2 linked regions of the Notamacropus eugenii genome follow. The protein of the gene in region 2 purifies or fractionates together with the protein of the main gene of each other region. This does not show direct contact. Links are inferred from orthologs where the notes say so. Each region holds a gene or a part of one and is shown on either strand. Other genes may lie near its edges.

Region 1 (12,687 bases), on a different chromosome or scaffold from region 2:
CCCCACGGCAGTAGTATTTGTCCCTTGCCTGACTATTCCTACATATGGTCAAAATCAACTTACCTTCCGGGTTGCTGACATGGGCAAATTTACTGTTGGCAGCCACCGGCAGCCTCCCAGTAACCCTTTGTTTGGGGAATGTTATTACAATCCAGTGCATCTGATAGCACACGTACCGTCTGCATCTCCAACCATCAGAGAAACCACCACCAGCCTTTTTTGGACTTGGAACCGCAACTGCGAAAATTCAGACAAAGAGAGGAGCAGCTTGAGGGCTATCCCAGGCTTCTAGGGTAGATCGGCTCAGTGTCCTCCAAAGAAACTTGTCTTACAGTCAAGAGATACGAGTTCAAATCTCCACTCCTGCTGTTTAGGAAGACTATGCCCTTCACAAAGTCAGCTGTTTGATGAAATTTTTTATTGCCTTTAAGCTTCACAATAATCTTGTGGGAGGAGTGGGATAAAGATTAATATCTTTATTTTACAGATGGGTAAATTGGGGCCCAGAGATGGGAAGTGATTTGCCCAAAGTTACATGGACAGTCAGTGATAGAGGTAGGTAGGCAGTGCCAGACAGAGGGAAAAGCATGCCATTTAGTCAGAGGGCTCTGGGTTTAAATCTTCCTTTCCTCCCTTCTTTACACTACTTTCATAGTCTCCCCTTTAGACTATGAGATCTTTGAAGGCAGGGATTATGTTTTTGTCTATCTTGGTGAATTTAGGTTTAGCCCAGCGTCTGAGGAATGGTAATTACTTAATAAGTGCTTGTTGATTGGCTTGTGTGACCTTTGGGAACTCAATTAACCTGCCTAGGCCTCAGTTTCCTTATTTGTAAAATGAATTGGACTAGGCATTAGACAGCCTAACTTCTAACTCTAGAGCTATAACCTGATGTTTCTGGAGTAGCAAGCACATAGTCTTCTCTTATTTACAAGCTGTGTGACATGTAGCAAGTCAGCCCCTTTCTCCAGCCTCAGAGTTCTCATCTGCAAAAATCAGATAGTCTTGTGTGTACTTGGCCACCTTACAGGGCTTTTATACAGGGAAAAGAATCTTCTGTACACCTTAAAGCAATAGAGAAATGTTCATCTATTGCTAAAATGGAAAGGGTCCCAGAGTCAGAGCCAGGCAATGTACGTTAGAAACTTGGCTCAACACTACTACTCATGTGATCACCAGCCAATCTCTTTCTCTCTCCTCATCACAGCCAGTTTTCCTTATCTGTAGTATGGGGATGATAACATGTTCACTCACTACCCACCTCCCAAACTACTTCACAAGATTTATTGTAAGGATCTAACCAACTCATGTAAACAAAGCGTTGTCTTATATTTCAGAACTAGTTTATAAAATATATCCCTGGTTCTATATCTATCACTTTTACTGTTTGAGATAATCCAAATGAGTCTTGGGAGAAAAGCAGAGTCCCCTTTCTTTGTGTTGCTTCATACTTTGTAGCCTTGTGACCTTCTCTGAGCCTCAGTTTCCTTATCCATAAAATGGGGATAACATTTCATTCAAAAAGAATTGGACTCATTGGCCTCTCAGGTCCCTTTAACTCTAGATCTATGACTCCATGACCCTCTGGTCATTGAGAAGATCAGATGAGATGATGTACATAACGTATTTCACTACAGTTAAAGCCCTCTAGTTAAATGTCAGCTTTATTATCTTATCTCCCAGCAGACAAAGCTCGAGTTTAACCCCAAAGCTGAGTTGTAATTTCCATCCTAATCATCCTCATTACTTGTTAGGATTCTCCAGCTCCAAGGCATTCAGATGATTATTATATGAAATTAGTCCTTTAATAATATAATGGTAAATAAAAGCTAATTAAGAAATTTCAAACAAGGAAACCTCTAAAATACCAGCAAACTTGACTTCCCCGAGATATCATGGGTGCTTGTTTCAGGAAAAAAATAAACAATTATTTTCTCCTCTTGGGTACCAGAATTTGGCCAATTAGGGGAACACTAAGATATCTTTGAAAATGTTGCTTTTTAAATGTATTATGACAATGTCAGGTGAGCTACATTCCTAACATTACCTTGGGAGGCAGCTGGTCTAGCTCAAAGAGTTAGAGCAAGCGTTTGGGCTCTGTGACCCTGGGTCAGTTGGTTCCCCTCTCTGTGGGCCTCAGTTTCCACAAAAATGCAGGCCATATTTACAGCTACCTTCCTAAGACCGGTGCCCCATATATCATAAACTGCTATAGAAAATACCAGTTACTATTGCTGGGATTTCTTCACCCCTTTACCTCTCAGCTTTAGAGAGCTGGCTAGGTGATTGCTGTAAAACACTCGACACTTCAGCCCTTCCAATTCTAGAAGTTATTTACTCAGTAGGTTGAATGAAAAAAATAGTTCAAAGGGAAAGAAAGTCACAATCTCTAAAGGGTTAGTGAATGATTTTATTTTGACAACAGTGTTGTCATATTCATAAGCAAAGATCACTTTTTTTTAACCTAGGGATTATTCAACAAAGAGGAGACACCACTTGGAGTAAATCCCGTCCCTTCGTACCTTCCCGGGTCTAGGACCGGTTTGGAGAGGAGCAGCTTTTGTCCAAGAGCCAATCGCATCAGGAGCTGTAACAGCACATGACTTTGGATACAATCCTACACTTCAAGGCTGCATCCTTGAAAGCTCGGAGTTGTCAGTTTCATCAACAATCCTGTGGGAATCTTTGGGGGAGGGGGAGGGGAGGGATAAAGGGAAAACACTTTGGTAGTACTATACTCATCAGGCACATGTCTTTCCACAGTAAAGGGGTGGCTGCTTGGTCCCCACGTCCTCAAAGCAGGTAGCACTTTTTCGAAGAGGGAAATTTAAGGAAGCCCTCAAGTCTTAAAACCCAGCCTCTGCCCCACCCCCATCCCCATGACTACTAAAAGCTATACAATGCATAAAAGGTGGGGTGGGGGTAGAATAGTTTAACAGTTTATTGTATTTTCTTAAATATAATAGATCCTTTCTGGAATTTTCAGAAACAAAAAGCATAAAAAAATTATATACTTTATTACAAAGGGTAAATATACCCAGAGTGTTCCAAATCTCTTATTTACAAACAATGCTTGGTAGGGCCCAAACGGAACAAGACAAAACATAAAATAACTTACAAAGGCATGAAGCTGTTTATTGACATTAATCAGCTTTCATAAAATAAAAAAAATAGATATATACATACACAGTTAACTGAAAGGCAGGCAAGTGGAGTCCATGGTATTCTTTACCCTTCCACCCCCCCTTTATTTTTCTCTTAAGAAACCTCCCTCCCAACCCTCCCCCCCCAGTTTTTTAAAGAGTACTACAGAAGCAAACTACAGGTCTCTATGGAGTTTTTTTTTTTCTTTTTTTCTTTTTTAGACCTTTTAATACTGAATGATCATCGAATGTTAGAGGTCCATGCAGTTCTTGGTCAATGTTAAACATGGAGCTGACAGGTTCTGCCCTCCGGGTCCGGCAGGGAGGGTGGGGGTGGGGCCATCCCTTCTGCCAAACGGTACTGTCGGGGGGCTTGGCCACTCCGGACTAGCTCAAGGCCTAAGGCTTGGCCAGTCCCGCCCCGACATGTGCGTGGGGGGCGGGGAGGGGGCGGCCCAGTCCGGGGCTCAACACGGGTCAGCTTGATCTATCTTTTCTCTGACACTTTGCTGTGCCTGTCTCTCCCTTCCAAACGCAACCAACGCGTCAGTCCAACCAAGTCCGTCTCTTGTCTCCCAGGGCTGCTCAAAACGTTTGCAACTGTTGCGTTAACATGAGCTGGCAGCCGCTGTTCACGTGGTTCATGACTTTCTGCTTCAGCTGGGCCACCTGTTCCCTGAGCATGTTGGCCGTGGACGCCAGCTCCGAGTTCTGGGCTTTCAAAGTTTTCACCTTTTCCTCCAGCCGGGCGATGCGCTCGAGTTTCCTTTTCCGGCACTTGGACGCAGCGATGCGGTTCCTCATTCGCTTCCTCTCGGCCTTGATGCGCTCCTGGGACTCCATGTCGATAGGGGACAGCGGCGGTGTCTCGCCGGGCATCTCGGGCACCGTCTGCGGCTCCTCCTTGAGCGCCTGCAGCCGGGGATGCTGCACGCCCGGCAGCTGCGGGCCCAGGGGAGGCTGCGGGTTCGCCTGCTGCGCCTGCTGCTGCGGGGCCGTAGGCTGCGAGGGGAAGCCCAGGCTGCTGCCACCGGCCCCGGCCCCCCCGCTGGCGCTGCTGTAAGCGGGCGCGCTGCCCAGCGCGGAGCTGGGGGTGAAGTTGCTCAAGTTCGCGTAGACAGGGGGCTCGCTGTGCAAGCCTCCGAAGCCCCCGGCGCCGCCGCCGCTGCCCGCCAGGGCGGCCACGGGGGGAGCCACCATGCCCGCGGCCACGGAGGCGTTCCCGGGCTGCGCGGCAGCCGCCGAGGGGACACCCGGGAGAGTGTTCTGGCTGTGCAGCTCGGCCAGGGCGCGCACGAAGCCCTCCGCGAAGCCCTCCTGCTCGTCCGTCACGTTCTTGGGGCACAGGAACTGTGTGGGCGTGGGCGTGGTGGTGATGAGCCCGTTGCTGGACTGAATGATGAGGCGCTCGAGCTCCGGGGAGGCGAGCTTGAGCAGCCCCACGTCGGGCGAGGTCAGCAGGTCTGGGTTCTTGTTGCGCAGGTGGGGCTTGAGGCTGCTCACCGGGTCAGCCAAGTTCAGGGTCAGACTCTGCTTTAGCACCTTGGCGTGGCTGTAGCCGTAGCCGCCACTCTCCGGCTGCACGAAGGCGTTGAGGGCATCGTCGTAGAAAGTAGTTTCCATCTTTGTAGTCATAGAACAGAGCAGGTCCCCTCCAAGCTGGCCGAGCCTAGACGTCCGTCGGTCCGTCTGTCTGTCCGCCCGCCTGCCGCGACTCGCAAAGTTAGCAAGGAGAGGCGGGCTTAGGGGCGCGCTCCGGAGTTCGCCTGGGGAGAGCTCAGCACCCCAACTCAGCCAGGGGGTCGCGAGCCCAGCTGGCCCCCCTCCGGGCTCGGCCACGAGGCGCGCTCACTCCGCTGACTGCTGTCCCGCGCGCGCTCCTCGGCTCCCGTTTGAAAAGTGGCGGCGATGGTGCGTCCGGCTGGAGGCGTCCCCCGGTCTCGGTGAGTGGCCGGCGGCTGGATCAAGCGGGTGACAGCGGCTCTCCCGGGCACGGGCGAGGGAGCCCGGCCGGGGGGGTGGAAAGGACAGCGAGGACGGGAGGTCAGCCGGACCCCCCCGAAATCCCAGTCCTTGGCGGCGTCGGTCCCCGCCTCCTCCGGGCTGGCAGCGAGCGGAGGGCGGCTGCTGCGCTCCCGAGCGCGGCTCGGGTCAGGGGCCGCAGCGGCAGCCCCTTCCTCGCTCTCCTCCGCCCGCCTCCGGATCGCTGGGTTTCGTCAAAAGTTCGCTGCGGGCTCCGAGAACCACTTGTGTCTCCGGGAAAAGTAGCGTGCGGGGCAGCGGCCCCTCGGCCGAGCTGGGCGTGCGCGGCGACGGGGGCCGGGGCGCGAGCCTGGGACCCCCGAGCTGGAGCTCTCGGGCAGCGGCAGAGACAAGAGGGGGACGGTCCTGGCGGGACGGCTCGGGGCGCCCGCGCTGCTCTGCGCTCCTCTGCGCTGCTCCGCCCGGCGGGAGCCCACGGGCCGGCCGGATCGGATCGGGGGCTGCTGCGGCTGCTGCGGCTGCCTGGGACCCCTGCCTGCCTGCTGCCTGCCTGCCGCCTGCCTGCCGCCTGCCTGCCGCCTGCCTGCCCGTCCCGCGCCGCTCAGCCTAGGCTCTCCCGGCCACTCTCAGTACAACTCTGAGCCCGTCTCCAGCTCGGAGCTCAACACTTATCTGCTACCAGTCACCCCCTAAAAATAGCCCATGATGTCACCCCCGCGCCTTCCCATTGGCCCGCGTCGCCCTCAGGGGGGAGGGCCCGCCCGTCGCCATGGAGACCCCACCCTAGAAGATTCTTCTCCCGGGCCCCGCGGAGGCTCACGGGATGAGGTAATGCTCCGCTGCCCTCCTACAGTCGGGCCCTTCTTTCTCCCAGCGCTCCCCCCTCCCCTACCCGGCCCGCCCCGACCCGCCCGGTGCATTGTGGGCTGACGTCTTGGGGTTGGACTGTCTAGTGACGGCGGTCTGGCGGCTGGGGCGGAGGCGGGCTCAAGTTCTAGGTTCGGTGGGGGTGGGGGCAGGGAAAGGCGGGAACGCTCCGAGGGTCGGGGGCCGTTACCAGGCGGTGGGGCGGAGACAAGGGAGTATCAGTTCTCTTCTTCCGTCCGCGGACGCGGGGGGCGGGGGGCTTCTCCCAATGCGCTCGGCCTGAAGTTTTCAGGGACTTGCCTCCGCGCCGCCTTCCCCCACGCCCTGGGACTCATTGGTACCGCCCTGAAGGTGGTTCGGTCCCTAGGGGCGGGGAGCCGGAGGGAGAGCGGAGGCGGGGGGGCGAAGTATCGCGAGATCCGCTCCCTTCCTCTCGCAGCGACTGCAAACAAACTTGGGTACCAGGGAAGTTGGGGCCCGGGAACGCCTCGGAGTGTCCGGGCTTGGAGCGGCCGAGCGCGCTAGCATCTTCTCCCGGCGCCGCGGTGGGGGCAGGGCGGCCCACTGGGCGGATGAGCAAACTGAGGCAGGGGGGACCCCAGGACGTCTAGCCCTACCCCTGCCCCCTAAACGGGGGCTTGTCCGGAGCCACAGCTAGAAAGCAGCGGAGGAGGAATTCGAACCCAGGGCAGGCAGGGGAGGGAGGAAGACCTAGGGTCCGAGTTTTACTCTGTGACCCTGAGCAACTCACTGAAGGCCATGTGCTTTTATTAAGCGCCTACTGTATGCCAGGTTCTGTCGCTAGCGCTGGGAACATAAAAAAGGGGCCGAGCCTTTATTTTCGCCCCTTCCCCTTTTGTGCGTTGTTCCCCAGAACCCCCAGAAGGTGAACCCTTTGAGGGCAGGGACTGCCTTTTACCTTGTATTTGTAGCCCCATTGCTTAACACACGGTAGGCGTTCAATAAATGCTTGTTTAACCTTTCAGAGACAGTTTCCTAATCTGTAAAAAGGTGGGGAAGTTGTAGGGGGGACTGAACTAGAGGGCCTTGGAGCGGCCCCCCCCATCTTCAGATCCCTTCCCAGGTTGCTACTAGCCGTGTGACTTTAGGAGAATCATTTCCCAACCTGTAAAACTGGGGGGAATAGATAGCGCCCCCCTCCCAGCACAGGGTCGTTTTGAGGATCCAGTTAGTTAACTTGTAAAGTGGTTTGCAAACCTTAGACATCTAGAGAAATTGTTTTATTAGTAATGATATTAAGTAACATCTGGTAACATTAATAGCAACATAGTATCATTTAATGAATGACGTATCATCATCGTTTCACTGAATCTCACTGGACCCATTCCTAAAGTGAGAGAGAGACCTCTGAGATCCATTTCAGCCCTCCCCCACCAAAATCTGTCATTTTACTCTGGGGGAACTGAGACCCCGAGAGAAGGGCAGTGGCTTGTCCGAGGTCACATCGTAAGGTAGTGACCGAGCCAGGATTCCCACTTGGGCTGGTAGATTCTAATCTCAGGATGGATTCCATTATCCCGTGAACTCTGACCTTCGAATTCCAAACCCTGGCTGGGTATTCGTACAGGGCCTTCCTCAAATCCAGGTCAGCCTTCCTAGCAGCAGTGGTTGCTAAGCTGTGGGAATTCCTTAACGCCCACCCACGTTGGGAGATCGAAACTCATTTAGGACAGCCGGAGGCTTCGAGAAGTCGGCTGTCTGTAGTTAGCGGGTGGGATTTGAATCCAGGTTTTTCCGGACTGATAGCCTAGCGCTCTCTCTCTCTCTCTCCCTCTCTCTCTCTGTATGTATGTGCGCGCGTATATATATACATACATACACATACACACACAGATATACAAATGCTAACAAATATGTATTTAAAAGAGCCTACGTCACTGGATTGCTAATCGAGTTGTTAATAATAATAGCTAAAATTTATATAGCACTTTGAAGTTTGTAAAACGCAGTTACAAATATTAGGTAATTTGATCCTCTCAACCATACTGGGAGGCAGGTGCTATTATCTAACCCTACGAGGAAACTGGGTCAAAAAGAAGCTTAAGAGATTTGCCCAGGGTCACACATCTAGTAAGTGCCTAAGGCAAGATTTGAACTTGGGTCTTTTTGACCCTCCTTAGGTGTCTGTATTTTGGGGGAAAGAAAAGGGAAAGTGGGATTAGTATCAGAGGAGATAGCGTAGGTAGTAGAGACTTAGCATCCAGAGCTTAGGAAGTGTCCATCAATATATGTAGTGAAGACCCCGGCTGGATGTAGGTACAAAATAATATAGAGAAAACGTCAGGGTCTTTGGAGTGAGAGGATTTAGTTTTTGTTCTTGTCTCCAATACCTAATACCCTGAGACTTGGGACAAGTCAATCAACATTTTATTAAGCTCCTACTTTGTGCCAGGCACTGTGCCAATTGATTGGGATGAAAAAAGAGGCAAAAGACAGTTCCTGAATTTCTTCAAACTGTCCAATGATGAGATTAAACTCCAAGGGATTTTGCTCTAGCTCCAAATCTAGGATCCTTTGATAGGGAAAGTAACTTTCCCTTTCTGGGTATTATTTTTCTCAGGGGTAAAAGCGGGACAAAAGTCTTTTTTTCTGCCTTTTTATAGAGTTTCTGTGAGACTCAAATTTGAGGATATGTATGGAAGTATGTCATAGTTCTCAGTAACATAGCTAGCATGGACATATCGTTTTAAAATGTGCAGTCATGCCAAGTCAAAAAATATCTATTAAGCTCCTATTATGTGCCAGGCACTGCACTACCCAATGGCAATATCTACACAGTCCTTGCCCTCACAGAGCAACTAATTGAATGGGGGAGACCACATACAGACAACTATGCACAAACAAATTATAGAAGGGACAAATCGGATGTAATCAACAGAGGAAAGGCAGGAGCATTTAGGAGAATCAGGAAAGGCTCCTTGCAGAAAGTGGGATATTGTCTGAGTCTTGAAGGAAGCCAGGAGGCAGAGATGAGAAGGAAGAATGCTCCAGGAGTGGGGGAGAACAAGTTAGCTCATTTAATCCTCACAATCACCCCATTGTGTGGGTCACAGGTGGCTCTGTAGGTGGCTCTAAATACTCCCTAATGGAGTCCAAATCTGACTAAAATATACCAGGGAACTATTTAACAAAATATCTAGAAACACAATAAAGCATAGGTAATGTTAATTTGTGGTTTTCTAAGTCAATATGCAGATGGGAGGGATCCTTATGTAGGGCTTTGTTGTTCAGTAATGCCCCACTCCTTGAGACTTCAGTCGGGGTTTTCTTGGCAGAGGTACTGGGGTGGCTTGCCATTTCCTTCTGTTCATTTTAGAGATGAAGAAACTGAGGCAAACAGGGTGAAGTGACTTGCCCAGGGTCGCACAACTGGTAAATGTCTGAGGTTGGATTTAAAGTCAAGAAGATGAGTCTTCTTGACTCCAGGCTTGGGGATCTATGCCCTATGATGCCACCTAGCTGCCCCTCTTTATTATAAATAACCTTTTTATCAACGGGCCATTTTACAGATAAGGGGACTGGAAACCAGAGTTGTCCCAAGCCAGGCAGTGACACTAAGTGACAAAGCTGGATTTGAATCAGAGACTTCATTAGGGAAGGAAGCTTTCCTTTAAGTCTCCCTGCGGCTAAGTCCTTTCCCTTCTCAGTTATCTACCATTCATAGTCCTCTAATAAATACTTTGTCTCCCTGAATTCAAATGTAAACCTTCAGAGGGAGGAACTTTGCTTTTTCTTTGTATCCCAGTCGTCAGCTGTGGATTGAACCCTGGTTCCCAAACATGGAATCCACCCCTTTCCCATTCTTACCTCATCTTACCTGGAGAGAATTGAAACCAGAGAAGGGACTTGCCCCAGGTCACTTAAGGTAGGTGGTTTGGGCCAGTCAGGCAGCATCAGAATTGGACCTAGAACTCTAAGCACCTGACCTCCTTCCAGTACCTTTCCCCTCCCCACCCTTTCTTCTCCCATTCATCCCAGCCCCTTGAGTGTGGTCAAAGTATCTGTCGTCCACACAGCACAGTGTCTAGAAACTGTCTGGAGTCATCTGAGTGGTGGAAAAGGGAGTAGAAAGGTGTGTAGTGTCATTGGTACAAGGTCTGTTTTCCCTGGAATCAGGAGAACAGGTTAGTAGGTGAGAAGTCAGTGGAGCTCTGGTGTGGTTGGCAGGACTGGCCAGGGGAAGGCTTTGGTTCCACATCCTGACCCTGTCAATGACGTGGGGTGGGGGAAGGGAAGAGGAGAAGAACTCTGAGGTGGAAGTCTGGAGACCAGAGTTCTGATCCTCAGTTTGCCACTGACTAGTTGCAGGATAGTGGGTGAGTCAGTTGCCTTCCCTTTCCTCCTCTGGGCCTCACTTTCCTCCTTTCTAAAATTATGGTATTGAATTATGTGACCTTGAAGGTCCCTGTCCAGTCCTGATATCCTAGGATTCCATAAATACGCACTAGAATGCTGGAGATCAAAAGGCAGCGGGATGATACAAGAGATAGAGATAGCAGCTGCTATTATTGTGAGACTCACATGAGATAAATGCTTGGAACGTGTTTTAGAAATCCTGAAGTGCTTTATAGAGATTGGGACTGTACACCTGGGACTGGCATAAGAAAATCTGCCAGTGTAGGGTGGCACCTTCTCTGTAGGGCAGCTATGTGACACAGTAGAGAAAAGCATTGGGCTGGGAACCAGGGAAACTCATCTTCCTGAGTTCAAATCTGACCTCACTAGCTATATGACCCTGGGCAAGTCACTTCACCCTGTTTGCCTTAGTTTTCTCATCTGTATAATGAACTGGAGAGGGAAATGGTGAGCCCCTCCAGTATCTTTGCCAAGAAAACCCCAAATGGGGTCACAGAGAGTCAGACACCACTGGAAAATGACAGAACCACAGCCACAATCTTCTCTGTAGTCTTAGAGGGTTACCAAGAGCCCTGACCAGTTAAGTAGCTTATCTAGGATCACCCATTCCGAATGCAGACGTATTATATAGATTCTAGTCTTTGATTATCTGTGACTATTTTATTCTTCTTGACTTGAGAGTTCACCAATGTGACAGCAGAAGATGGTGGTAGGTGAGTCAGCTAGTGTCCTCTCATTAAAACAATAGGTCTATGCTAGTCATAAATTACTGAGAACTATGACATACTTCCATACTTATCCTCAGGTAGCTCTCTGCCCTCTCCCTCTGATGCTCAGCTAGGTCCCATTTCCTGGGAAGATTCCTGTCCCAAGAAGCCTTGGATAGTTATTGATTTTGAGTCAGAAGGGAACTTACAGTTGATTCAATGTGGTCGTGTCTCGTTCCCTGTTTGGTGAAAGCGAAGAATGGTGGAATATCAGAGCTAGCCAGAACTATGGAAATCACTGAGTCCAACTGCTTTACTTTACCATGGAAGAAGCTGAGGCAGGAGTGACCTATCTCCTAGCTGCCCAGTGTGGGAGGTCAGCATTGTACCCATGTTCTCAAACTGCCCTCATGACAGTGGTGTGAGTCCTGAGACACAGGAAGATGGACAGGAGGAGAATGGAAATAGAAGACTTTAGGTTTCTACCTCAAGTTAGGTAGGACATTGCTTGACTGGAAAGTGTCCAGAGGAGGTCGACCAGGATGGTGGAGGAGCAGGGAATGCCCCATCCAACACCTACCATACTCCAGCTCCCTTCTTTCTGCCTCTGTTTCTAGTTTATCCCGAGCTTGTCTTGTTTGCCTGTTGTGTGCTCTGTTAGATGAGTAGCTTCTGGAGAGCAGGGACGGTTTTCTGCCTTTCTTTGGATCTCCAGCATTTAACACATGACCTGGCATATAGCAGGAGTTCACTAAATGCCTTGTTGACTTCCTGAGTTGAAAAAAGGTGGGTTTTTGTTTTGTTTTGTTTTTAACTTTTTCCCCAGCCTGGAAAAGAGAAAAACTCAAGGGTGGTGAGGCATTGTTGGGAAAAAACACACTGTCTTCATGTATTTCAAAGGCCATCCGGTGGTAGAAGGGTTAGCTGTATTTGGTTGGCCCCAAAGCCAAGGGCAGAACTGGGAGCAGAGTTTCCAAGAGTCAGATTGAAGGTGACTGTTAAAGAAAAACACGCTCTCTACCGACCTGAGTTGTCCCCAGAAGGTTTGGGCTTCCTCAGCTGAGTGAAGTTCTCCATCCACAGTCCTTCCAAGTGGTGACTGGACAACCATCTGTGGGAGACCTGAGAGGCAGGCTTCTTTCTTAGGTGTAGGTCAGAGGAAATGTCCATCAGGTCCCCTTCTAGCTCTGAGAGTCTGTAATGTAATGACCCAGAAAAGAAAGCTTCTTTTCCCTAAAGAGCAGCATTGTGGTGTCCACCTGTCTCCTCCATTAGACGGTCAGGCCCCCCAACACTATGCCTGACACTTCTTAATAAATTCTTGTTGATTGATCTTTTCAACAGCGCTGTGACATGGGTGCTATTATTACCTCCATTTTATAGACATTTTTTTAATGGAGGAGGAAAGGCAAGGCAATTGGGGTTAAGTGACTTGCCCAAGGTCACACAGCTAGTAAGTGTTTCAAGTGTCTGAGGGCAAATTTGAACTCAGGTTCTCCTGACTCCAGGGCTGGTGCTCTACTCACTTTGCCGTCTGGCTGCCCCTGTAGATGAGATTTTTAAGGAACAACTATGGGTTTATTAAACAGTCACTAGAATATCTGGAAACA
Region 2 (12,399 bases):
TTAAAAAGAAACATTACAATTTGTGTCATGAATTCCAAAATAAGGGTTTTAAAATACAGGTTGACATTCTGACCTTACTTCACTCTGCTGGGTCATTCTTTTCACACAATGGCCTGCTTTAAAGATGAAGGGCTTTAGTTTCAATTTCAGTTCCTAGAACTGTTTCTTCCTTTTGGTTCCCAACTTTTAACCTTATCTAAGCACATTTACTTTGATATTAAAATTTGCCTGACAACTTTTATTATATATTCAGCAGATGAAATTGTAAGCTCCTTACATTGTGGAAACACTAATGATAGTAAAGTACAATTAAATAATCTTAAGGAGTTGATCAGCTGATACACCAAGGATGTTGTTTAGTCACAAAAAGTTGTCTAGAAAATTTTCTTATCCCACTTTTCCGTTTTGGTTTTACATTCTTAATGTGCACAAGCAAAAATGACTTGATCTGACCATTATTCAATCAGGAAAAAAAGTTACGTACATATATATATGTTTGAGGGGAAGATGAAGAGAAGGTAAATTTGGTATATCTCTCTGTCAGAGGTGTCTATGTAAAAATGGAAGGTATATAGAGACCTATCTCATGAGCCTTTAGTTCCAAGAATTGTAGAATTAGAGTTTCTACCAATATATACTATACATCCATTCACTGATTGTGAAGCAAATATAGGATTAGTTTTAACTTCTTAATAAGCTCTTAATGCAGTGAGCTCTTCAAGTTGCTAGCTATCTTAAGGAGTTTTCACCTTTGGTTTCCTCAATTTCCTCCTTTGGGGCAACTTGGGGGTATTTATAGCTAAACTGTCAGTGGTCTGAGAGAGAATACACCAGGGAGATAAAAGTCTTCCAGTTTCTATTAGTGGTGGGGCCGGGGCAGGGGCGGGGGCCAGCGTTGAGGAGAAGGCTGACCAGAGGGAGGTTCATCGGCTGATGTAGGGAGCTGGGCAAAAAAGCTGAGGGTGAAACAGAAAACTAAGAGTCTTTTGTTTAAATTACTGGAGTTTATCAGGGAAGCTGATTGGTGAGGCAGTGTGTCTAAGTTAAAAAGGCTTGGGAGAGTTACTTGGCATAATTTCTCCGTCTTCAATGATTTAGTACTGAAGTGCAAACATCAATTTTGGACTCTCTCCTGAGAAACATTTAACAAAACCAATGAACTACTGGGACCCTGATACCATTCTGGATTTGCCAAACTTCAAAAGCTGTTTAATAAACCTTGCTCGAAGTTTGTAGCTGGTTATGCTTTTTCTCCCTGTTTAAGAAACAGGTTCGTAAGTAAATATGCAATCCCAGGAACAGAGATGTAAAAAAAGGGTCTTCCTCTTTACCCTCCATTGTGATATATCTTCGAATTGTTCAGAAGTGCACACTATTGTTCAAGCTATTTGTGCCGGGTGTGCTAATGCACTCTTTGATTGAGTGAATTAGCAGTCATAACAATCTGGCAGTCTGGCCATAGAAGTGTGCTCAAATTGATTTGTGTTATGGCTGGACTGGAAAATCGAGTGTTAGTTCTTTTTTGCCCTGGGGCACTCTTTGTACCAAATTCCACTTTTCATTTAATTTTCCAATAGATTTCGAAAGACTGAAATGTTTGCGATCAACATTTGATCCACTTGCATTATTTAAAAAAAAAATCTTGTAAGTAATTTCAAATTCCAAAAACCTTGCTTTCAATTAGGGTAAACATAATTAGAGTGACGTCGTGCTTGGAATGGTAAATCTCCCTTTGTATCTATTAAGCATGTTATCTTGTCCTGTCACTGAAAGGAATTCAGTTTGTATTTGTGTTGTGTATTTCTGTGTGCTGGCTTGACTCAAATACAACTGAGGTGGGAGAAAGACAGAGAAAAGAATGATAGTCATATATCCTTTCTTGCAATTTGAGCGTCTAGTGTCAGTCATCTGACCCCTGAACTATATCAGTTTCACTTAATAATGTTATCAACAGTGGATCTAAGTGTTTTCAAGAAATATTCAGATGTTCAAGAAATATGATCTTGATACACATTGACTTTGTTACACAATCATTTGATTTTCTTTTGTGCTCTAGGAAAGGTACAATTTCAGATGTTTCTCCCTCAGATTTACAAGAAGTTCCAGTGGATATATTTACACACACGTGTGTGTGTGTGTGTGTGTGTGTGTGTGTATTAGATGTCTATTAAAACCTGAGAATGAAATGAAATTATTTACCCTAGTATTTTCAAAATGTGTATCTTTCTTACAATATTCTGCTTTTCAGTCATTTATCAAAATTACAATTAAACATGAATAAACTTTAAAAATGAGTACTCATCTCAGAGAAAGTTTTATGAAATGATTTAGTCAGTTTCCCCACTTGAGAAATCAGGGAATAGTATAGGTCAATAGGTAAAGAAAGAATGAAATATAATAATATACTGATGTATTTCTCTAAAGGGAAAAAGGCAAAATAAATCCAGATGGAATTCATGTTTTAAAACTTAAATATGAACATGAGTATCAATTCAAAGAATGTCTTACTATCTCCATGGCACTCTTTGCTATCATATGTTGCGTGCTGTTATGTTTTCTTTTCTCTGTAGACCTTGTGCTTTGTCGTTGCCCTTTGGAAACCAAAAGGCTGTGCCCTGCACAGGGCTAGAGTGCCTGGAGTCTGTCGTTCAGGAGATATTCGCTCAGACTTGAGGAGCAACATTGTACCGTACACTTTCTGACTATATCTTTCAACATTATAGCAAGTCTCCTCACTGGATTTCATAAAGCAATGATCTCTAGTAGTGTGTGTGTGTGTGTGTGTGTGTGTGTGTGTGTGTGTGTGCGCGGGTGTGTGTGTTGTTTGTTTGTTTGTTAAGTAATAAAACTACAAGACCTATCAGCTAGCTTACTGTTGGTGTAGGTTCTCATTCACCCAGAAATGGTCCCTGGGGAAGGTGGGGTAGGGTAGGAGGAGAAAGGGAGGAGGAAGGATAGTGGGAGGAAAGAGAATACCTGCCCTGAACAGTTACAAGAGTGCAAGAGAAGCTCAGCTTCAAACAATATCCTAGGAAAGAAATTAAAGACTTCTTAATTAGTGCAGCAATTAAGCTTTCTTGGTAGCATTTTAATCAGCACAGGCCCTATCAAAGGACAAACAGAACAATTTGCAGGTCTTTGAATTTTAAACAGTCTTATTGATTTCAGCAGAATAAGTCTTCACTTGACACAGGGAAAATTTTCAAATATCAGTGACTATACTTTGAGCTTAGAGGAAGAGACGATGGGGGAAGAGTGTTTGAAATGACCTGAGATGTAAAACAAACAACCAACCAAAAATACCTTGAAAAGCTATAAGTGAGAGGGATAAAGGGATAAATTCAAGTCCTTCTTAGATTGATACTTCTGCTAAGGACAATTCAAGCTCACTTAATTGTTCCTAACATTTCTCAAGCAAGGCACTCTGAAGATTTTTGCACCCTTCCATAAATATATTTTTATTTTCATTATGCTTAGTTCCTAATGCTATCGTCTGATCAAACAAATGCTACACAATGATGAACCTTTTCAAACTATGGTTTTCTTTCAACTGACTGAAAACCTGAAGATTTTCTGTCTCAGAACTCTTTCAGAAGGGACAGACTCCATAATACCCTACTATATAAAGTAAGCACGTGTTGTGGGGCACAGCTTCCCCCCAACATCATGGGTCCTCTTAGAAGTTAAGGTAAAATGGTGACATAATTGAGGGTCATGCTCTAGTTGCAATCGTTGCCTCGCTTGTATGTTACAGGAATGTGGCATGGTTGTGTATGCATGGTACTCTGAGTTAATGTGGGAAACCAGAGGGGGTAAGGGCAGCTTTTCAACACTTGTTTTGCATTGTTCTCATTTATGGGTAGAGAATTCAAAATGATAGAACTGTGGTCTAACATTTTTCAAAGTAGCTGAAGTTTTTATGGTGACATCAAGCTGTGCCATTATAATTAAAGTTGTGTTTGCATTTCCAATATAAAATCAGTTTTACAAGGGTTTGTAACTTTTCTCCCCCTGTTGAATATGAAATCTGCATTAAATATGTTTTAAAATAAACATGTACTTACTGTTTTTGATATTTTTAAGTGCATATATGTACATATACATCCTCACATTGGTACAAGAATTTATTAGATGAAGACACCTTTGATGACCAAAAGAATTTCAACTTTTTTAAAAAGATAGCTGACGTTTGATACCAGGCAGGACAAACAGTTGTCTACAGATTTAAGATATCCTAGAAAGTGTTGTATATGCTTTCCTTCCATGATGTGGACCAATAAGAAAATTCTGGCGAAATAAGGTACCTTTTTTTTAGGATAGATGTGAGTAGATTTTTGACATAGCTATGTTTTTCAATGCTTTTTGTATTCCCTCAAACAACAACAAACAACAAATTTTCAATAATAAGAAAAATAATATTTTAACTAATAAGACATAGAATTTTCAGTGTATAATTCAACAACATGGACTTACAGCTTTCAAAATATATACAAAACTATAATTTCTGTCAAATGTGTAATGCATCATTTCACACCTTGCAGAATTAGATACTGCGCATGTGTAGAGAAAGCCTAATTATTCAAGATCCACAGAGATATAGACAGAGGATTACATTGTGACTTATGCTATTTTAAATCACCTGTTGGTCAGAGACCCTTTAAATACTTAAATGCAACAGGTTAGCTGAATGTAAGAATAAGATGAATTAAAAAGGTGATTGAGAATAATTCTACCAGTTAATTTTTATATATCTCCACTTTGTTTTTTCAGGTCTGCTATTTAGGGGTGTGTGTGTGTGTGTGTGTGTGTGTGTGTGTGTGTGTGTGTGTGTGTGTGTGTGTGTGTGCGTGTGTGTGTGTGTGTGCGCGCGTGTGTGTGTGCACGTGTGTGTGTTGAGTGTAATTTCTTAAAATTTAGACAGAAAGGATATTCCCATAGAATGAGTTAATTTCGAAAACTGTAAGTTAAAAGAGATCTTTTATCATAACATACCAGAAAGTCTTTTGTCTTTTTTAAACAGAGTAACATTTTGTTGTTGTTGTTGCTGGTATTCACTTGAATTTCTCACAGTTTGAGATCCATAAAGTACATAAGTGTGTACCTGCTTTATATTTAGCTAGCCTTTCCTTTTTGAAGTCAGAGGATCTTACATCTATTTCTGACTGGCAAGGAAACATAGCTAACCTGTGTAAAATCCACATCGAGAATATCTTTTCATTTTTCTTTTCCCCCTACAATCTACTGAAATACAGAGCAGATAAAAAGAACATCTGCTATTATTATGTTAGCAATTTAGATGTCTGATTTCTTCCAACTTTCAGTCTATGATCTGTATTTACTAGCCCAGCTCAAAAAAAAACACAAAAAAACGTACTCACAAACAAGTGACCAAACAAACGAATGAATTAAAATCATACGTTTAGGTTTGCATAGGAACTTTCCCTAAAGTAAACTAAAAGCAAATGCAAACCTTCATAAAGATGTATGGAAGGAGAAAGTGTATGTAGATCTTCCATTTATACCTGATTTTCTTCAAAATCATTTTAATACGTCCTAATTCCTATAAGAAACTGTTCAAAGTGCTTTTGTTCGTCTTTAAGTTGACAGGAGATTGCTTAGATGCGTTTGGAAAATTACATGTCGTCGCGGATGAGATGAAATATGAAACATGTAATCTAACGGTAGTATTAAAAGAAAAGATGATCTCCCTTTCCTTTTTCGTCCCCCTCCCATTCCTCGCCCCCCCCCATCTCCCCGCCGTCTATGTCGCTCTCTCTTCACCTCCCTCCCCACCCACAATCTCTCTCCTCACCCTTTTTCTCCTCCCTCCCTCTCTTTCTCGTACTCTCTCGTTCTCTTTCTCAGTATCTCTCGCTCAGTCTGTGTTTCTCTGCTCCGGGTTCCTGGTTGGATAATTTGGGTTAATACTAGTGAGTGAGGTTTTTGAGGCTTCAAAGGGTATTTCAAGTTTCCGGAGCTCCTCCCCTCTGCACCGTGTGACAACAACAACTCGTCCAGAGAGCAGCCAGCACTTTTCAGCTCATTTTCTCTCTGTCATTCCCCTCTCAATCTTTGATCAATGTACTTGCCAGAGAGAACCGAAGTCCTTCAAACCTCCTCCTTTTCACCTTCATCTTTAACTTTGTGCTAGAGCAGGACCCAAAAAAACAATAGCCAACCCTCCCCCCCTCCCTCCCTCCCCCCTAAAAAAATTCAGCCCCCAATCCCAGCCCCTGGAGAGGACTACTCATTTGGACTTGCGGGACACTTTTGTGCGTGTCTCTCCTGCTTCTCGTTCTTACCCCCTCTGCCCTTCATTCTCCCATTCCTTTCTCTTCTCTTTTCTTTTTTTCATTCTTCTCTCTCTTTCCCCCTCTTTATCTTTCTGGGGATTTTGCTTTCTCTCGTTCGTTCTCCCCCTTTCCTTCCCCTCCCCCTGGTGTGTGGCAACTTTTTCCACCCCCCAATCTCCTTCTTCTCCTCTTATATGTCACCATGGCCGTGCCGGCTGCTTTGATCCCTCCGACCCAGCTGGTCCCCCCGCAACCTCCGATCTCCACTTCTGCCTCCTCCTCCTGCACCACCACCTCCACGTCCTCGGCGACCTCCTCTCCGGGTCCCTCCATCGGTCCCCCGGCGTCTTCAGGGCCAACCCTCTTTCGACCTGAGCCCATCGCGGCGGCGGCGGCAGCGGCAGCGGCGGCGGCGGCAGCGGCGGCGGCGGCGGCCACGGTCACCTCCACCAGCGGCGGCGGCGGCGGAGGCAGCGGCGGCGGCGGCGGCGGCGGCTGCACCAGCAGCAACGGAGGCGGCGGCGGCGGCGGCGGCGGCGGCGGCAGCTGCAACCCCAGCCTGGTCACCGCCAGCAGCACCAGCAGCAGCGGTAGCGGCGGCGGCGGCGGCGGCGGCGGCGGAGGCACCTCCAACCCCAGCCTCAACGTGAGCACCGCCAGCTGCGGCAGCAGCAGCAGCAGCAGCAGTAGCAGCAGTAGCAGCAGCAGCAGCAGCAGCAGTAGCAGCAGTAGCAGCAGCAGCAGCAGCTGCGGCAACCTCCCGGGGAAACCAGTGTATTCGACCCCTTCCCCAGTGGAGAACACCCCCCAGAATAATGAGTGCAAAATGGTGGATCTGAGGGGGGCCAAAGTGGCTTCCTTCACGGTGGAGGGCTGCGAGCTCATCTGCCTGCCCCAAGCTTTTGACCTGTTCCTAAAGCACTTGGTCGGGGGCTTGCACACGGTCTACACCAAGCTGAAGCGGCTGGAGATCACGCCGGTGGTGTGCAATGTGGAACAGGTTCGCATCCTGAGGGGACTAGGGGCTATCCAGCCCGGGGTGAACCGCTGCAAGCTCATCTCCAGGAAGGATTTCGAGACCCTCTACAATGACTGCACCAACGCAAGGTAAAGGGGGGTAATCCCTTAGCACCCAGCTCCCTCTTAACCACCCGCCTCCGCCCCCCTCTTTCTCGTCTTTCAGTCCTGCAGCCTCACCAGCCCCACCGAACCTCGGCACTCACCGAGTCTCTCTTTCCTTTCAGTGGTATTGTTGACAAGCCTGACCAAACTGAACCTCATCCAGTCTGTCCTGAGAAGTTGGAAAACCCATTCTCTCTATCCTGCGCTTACTTTCTCCCTTTTCCTTTTCCCCTCTCTTGCCGGTCCCATGCCCTCTCTCTACTCACCAGTAAAATGTTAAACTCTGTGTGCAGGGGAGAGTGGGCGGGGGGGGGGGGCAGTGAGTGCTTTGAGTGTTGAGGGACTTGGGAGAAAGGGGAGAATTGAGAGGAAGGGGCTGGGCTGGAAGCGTGGAGAACATTGAATCTTGCGGGGAAACTCATTCCTCTTCCAGTTTGCTAAAACCTGAGAACACCTACCTTGTCTCACCTCTGCCCTCCCACCGCGTGGAGTGAGGCTCCCCAAAGTCAGGCACTCCGGAGTGCGAGTCTCACTGAAGTGTGATTTTTGTTTGTTGCGGAGCGTGTTTCCAACGGGTGATTAAGATGAGGTTGGGGGAGGTTGTGAAAGGGGAAGATGCGGAATCCAACTCGAGGCATCAGGTTTTCCCAGCCAAGCAAATGGGCTGGGGGTGGGGATGGGGTGCTGGAAAGATGGGTTTCGGAGTAAGGGATGAGAATGCGGGGAGTAGTCTCCCTCCCCGTGGTGAAGCTAAGGAAATATGGTCCCGGGATAACACTTCAAAGTCTAGGGGCACACTGTTTTGGCGTCTGAGAATTGACCCAGTAATTGAACTATCAGTGTCCCATTTCTCCAGGGTAAATTTAGCTACAGCATATAAAGGGGAGGGAGGAAAGAGATACGATTCATATTCTGGAGTGTGTGTGCGTGTGTGTGTGTGTGTGTGTGTGTGCGCGCGCGTGTGTGCAAGTGATTGCCAGAAAGGAAGGAAAGTGGAAGGAAAGTAAGGCTGTTGCCATGGGGCAAAAGAGACTCAGCAGGCTGGTTCTCTTCTGGTGGGGTGGAGTTCCAGATACCGAGGCTTAACTGACTTGGGGAGAGGAGAAAGATGCCAGGTCCCTGCTCTTTCTGAGGTCGGTGGCTCAGTGAAGAAGCAAGTGCGGGAGTTGGGCTCGAAGGTGCAGTCGAGTTCCCAGTAGCTGCCTGGGAACCGAGGAGTGCCTTGGCTGTATTAGCCACGGGTCCAGTTCCAGAGCTGTTTCACTGTACGTCTGCGTGCTCGGAGGGGCAGGATTGTACCGGGAGGGGGCGGGAGAGGGGCAGCTTTTAGGGATCTGGAGATTGTAGGATCCTGGATCGTTCCTCAAACCTTTTGCCAACACACACACACACACACACACACACACACACACACACACACACACACACACACACACACACAACCTCTCTGGCACTGCAGCTCATCTTTTGTCCCATAGGAACGATGGAGCAAAAGTCAAAACCTAGAACAAATAGAACAAAATAGGAAGGGTGTAGTGAAAGTTAAGAGTTTCGTTTAGAGATGACAAGGGCAGACGAGAGGGAGGGAATAACGTGCATAACTGCCCTAGAAAAATCAAATGCTATTGAAATAAACGTGAAGACCAGAACAGAGAGGGCTCTATCTGCACATGTAGCTGATTAGGACGATAGGCTGGGCTGGGCGTGAAGGTAAGAGTTATTTTAGGAAGTAACCAGAAAGGAAGAGCTCCCCTGTTGTCCGAAGGAATGAGAACCGGACTCACAGACTGTCAGACTTGCATCTTAGCTGGCTACCTTGAGGGTAGTGATAAAACTCAGAAGATGAGAACCTTGTGGTGGGGAGAGGATCCTCTTAGCAAACGTCTCGGAACTGACTGGGTGCAGATATTCCCTTTCTGGTAGTTATCTGGGAATCAACATACAGGTCCCAAATGTCGAAAAAGTCAAAAAAGATTAAGTTGCAACATGTAAGAACAAAGCTTTGCCGCCTCCTTCTCCCCTCTTTTACGTTTATATTTTTTTATGAGACATTCCTTATTCTACTTGTTTCTGTATGCTTATCTGGGTGAGTATAAAGAACAGGTGGCAGTTAAAGGACTGAGGTGGGGGGGTAGGGATAAGGAAGGGCCTTCATTGGGATAATATGGCCAGGAGAGAAACATTTACTAATAACTTACAGATATCATTTTGGGGGCTACTTGTCTGAGTAGGAAACTCTTAAATGGTCTGTTTGAAAGAATGACAATTTTTATTTGAAGGAAGTTTAGAGATAGATGATCAAGTCTGTAATTCTTTGCAGGTACATTTTCTTTTAAAGTAAATCTTATTGTTGAAAGTTCAGTATACTTCGATTCAGTAAACAAACAGCAAGTCTAAGTTCTTTCTGTGTATTACAGCACAAACTGTACCAGTAAATCAAAGGTCACTTTCCATTAAATCTTGGTTAAGAACACTTTCCTTATAATATAAAATGATAAATATGCCATTTAATTGCTCACTTAAATAATTATGTCTTTCTCGTTTTCTTCAATTTTGTTAGTGTTTGGAACTGAAGTCTTTGTCATGGCCTATAAAAAAAAGCAGCCTAAGTCAAAATATTTTAAGAGTTTCTGCAGAGGTTAAGAATAGTTCTTAAGTTTATCATCAGAATGATTCAGTGTGCTTTAAAGGATAGATGCCCCAGAATTGAAAGACAAGTTCAATCCATTAGATCACATCTTTAGTTCTACTTACCACTTCAAAAATATCTTATCATCACCGTGATTATACTGTTGTCATCTGGTATTAATACTTTAGTTTGCAATTAAATGTGATGTTCCACCAAGCTTTCCCAGGTGATTTTCAGTTTGAAGATGTATTGGTTGCCTCCCTTGATACATTTTGATCTTTTACTTAACACCATCCTATGCTTATATTAATATCTGTAGCATACAAGCTCTGTCACCATTTGTTCATGAGATATTTTGCTACTGAGATTTCCTAATTCAACCAGGGATTCCAGAGCTTGGAGGTCTAGGGCTGGGGCTTGCAGTGCTTTATTTTGCCACAATATGCTGTCAGAACTATAATAGTGTGTTATTTAAAATCAATATGACATTATGTTTCCTCTGGAATAGTTTTAAAGAAGTAAGCACAATTTCTTGTGTCTAAAGTTTCAAAACTAAAACAACTCTTTCCCCCTAAAAGGTAGTTTAGCACCTTGACAGTAGAAGCATTAATTTCCTTGCCTTGAATGCTTATTTTACTCATCTGGATTTTAGTTCTCTTGTTCCTTGTCCTTTATGTTTACTAAAAAGAAAAGAAAACCCTTTTTGGCTTATAAAAAGGAAGAAACAGCACAAGTCAAAAAGGACTGCATTAGAAGGCAACTTAAAAATGAAATAATGTCTATTTTTCCAATCTCAGTAATCACATGCTTTTATAAAAGCAAATGTAATTATCTATTGGCATACCCTGGAAGATATCCCCAGTGTTCATATGGGTAAACTGAGGAATCACAATATTAACTTACCCAAAGTCATTCCACAAGTTATTAAGAAAGTTTGAATGGAATAAGATTAATCTCCTTGGTTTGACTAAGTGTAGTGTTTCTTAATAGCAAGTAAATGCTCAGTTAGTTGGTTATTACCATTAAAAGCAAACAAAACCAAAAACAGAAGAAAAGGAGGGGATCAAGAGGAAATCACCTATGGGTTAACCAGAGCTTACAGAAAGACTTCAACATGGGATGGAATTCAGGGGGTGTAGAAAATGCAGGAGAATACATGTAGAAGTTGTCAAAGGACAAAGGCAGACCTTGATCAGTTTCCTCCAATTATTTATTAAACTAAACATTAAATGAATGAGCTTGGCTGTTGCAAGGGAGGTTAGTTAATGAACTAGTAACCATTAAAAACAAAGTAAGCCATCAGTAAATCACTTATTTGTAGGTCTAAGTTAGAAATGTCTTTTACGTGTATTCATGTCATAGAAAAATTTTTATTCCCTTTCACATGAAATTCTGATTTCTGGGTCTTGGTTGCATTGAGTTTTTTATTTGTTTTCCCTAACACCAGATTGCGATTCAGGGTACAACACAGGAGTTGCTGAAGTTGGTTTAAAGATTTCACTCCCTTGAGTAGAGTGAATGTGTGTGCACTTCCATTCAAGCCTTTCACTATTTAGAATTTGTAGACGATACATATTTATAGTGCTGTATCTATAGATGAAGTATTGCTATAGCTCTTCATTTCATCTTAGGAGTAGATTCAGTGAATAGATGACAAAGTGAAAGATTTCCCAATATTGTATTCTTTTAAGGAAACTTTTCTTTCTAAAATACATTATGAATTTATTTGTTTTAGAAAAACGAAATGTGAGACACTGGGAAAACATGCTAGATTCCCAGATTCCCTCTTTTTAGGGAGCCACTACCTTTTTTGGCATTCTTTAATTAACTGGTCTGCTGAGATACCAGGTATTTATTTAGGATTTCATTCTTTGCTTATATGTCACAGATTTGAGTTTCATTATAGAATCTTTAAAATAAAACCATTCCTCAACTCCACAAGGTTTATACACACAGGTAAGCCAGTTGCAGTACAAAGATAGCTTTCCCATGGGCCACACCAAAAGAAAAGAAGCCAGAGTTGATAAATGTTTGTATCGAAACAGATTGATGATAGAAGTTAAGTGTAATATTTCATTTTATCAGTTTTTTAGAAGATTTGTCTAGTAAATTATGAGAGAAAATCCAAGTTTGGGACTTTTCAGAACTGTTTACCATTCATTTTGATTCATTTCCCTGATTGGTGTTAATATATTTGGTTGCTGATACTGATTTTGTTATTGGCAAGTCTCAACCAAATATGACGATTCCAGTTGAAATTGGCTATGAAAAAAAGAGCACTCTGATATAGGTTTTCCTTTGCTCAATGAAATCATTTATCCAACTAAGCCAGTAGCCTGCCTACTGCAATATAAC

Evidence for each region.
Region 1: the proteins of DACH1 (region 2) and JUN purify together in Homo sapiens (affinity purification with western blotting; 3 studies listed by BioGRID and IntAct, with this or other methods). This does not show direct contact. The link is inferred for Notamacropus eugenii from reciprocal best matches to the Homo sapiens genes DACH1 and JUN.

Annotation. Positions count from the first base shown.
Region 1 is NC_092873.1:518,945,949-518,958,635, forward strand, and holds JUN (transcription factor Jun), read right to left. Parts: upstream 5,748-12,687; 5' UTR 4,779-5,747; coding exon 3,729-4,778; 3' UTR 2,391-3,728; downstream 1-2,390. UniProt on the Homo sapiens protein: Transcription factor that recognizes and binds to the AP-1 consensus motif 5'-TGA[GC]TCA-3'.
Region 2 is NC_092877.1:266,362,601-266,374,999, forward strand, and holds the start of DACH1 (dachshund homolog 1), read left to right. Parts: upstream 1-6,210; 5' UTR 6,211-6,495; coding exon 6,496-7,400; intron 7,401-12,399. UniProt on the Homo sapiens protein: Transcription factor that is involved in regulation of organogenesis. Seems to be a regulator of SIX1, SIX6 and probably SIX5.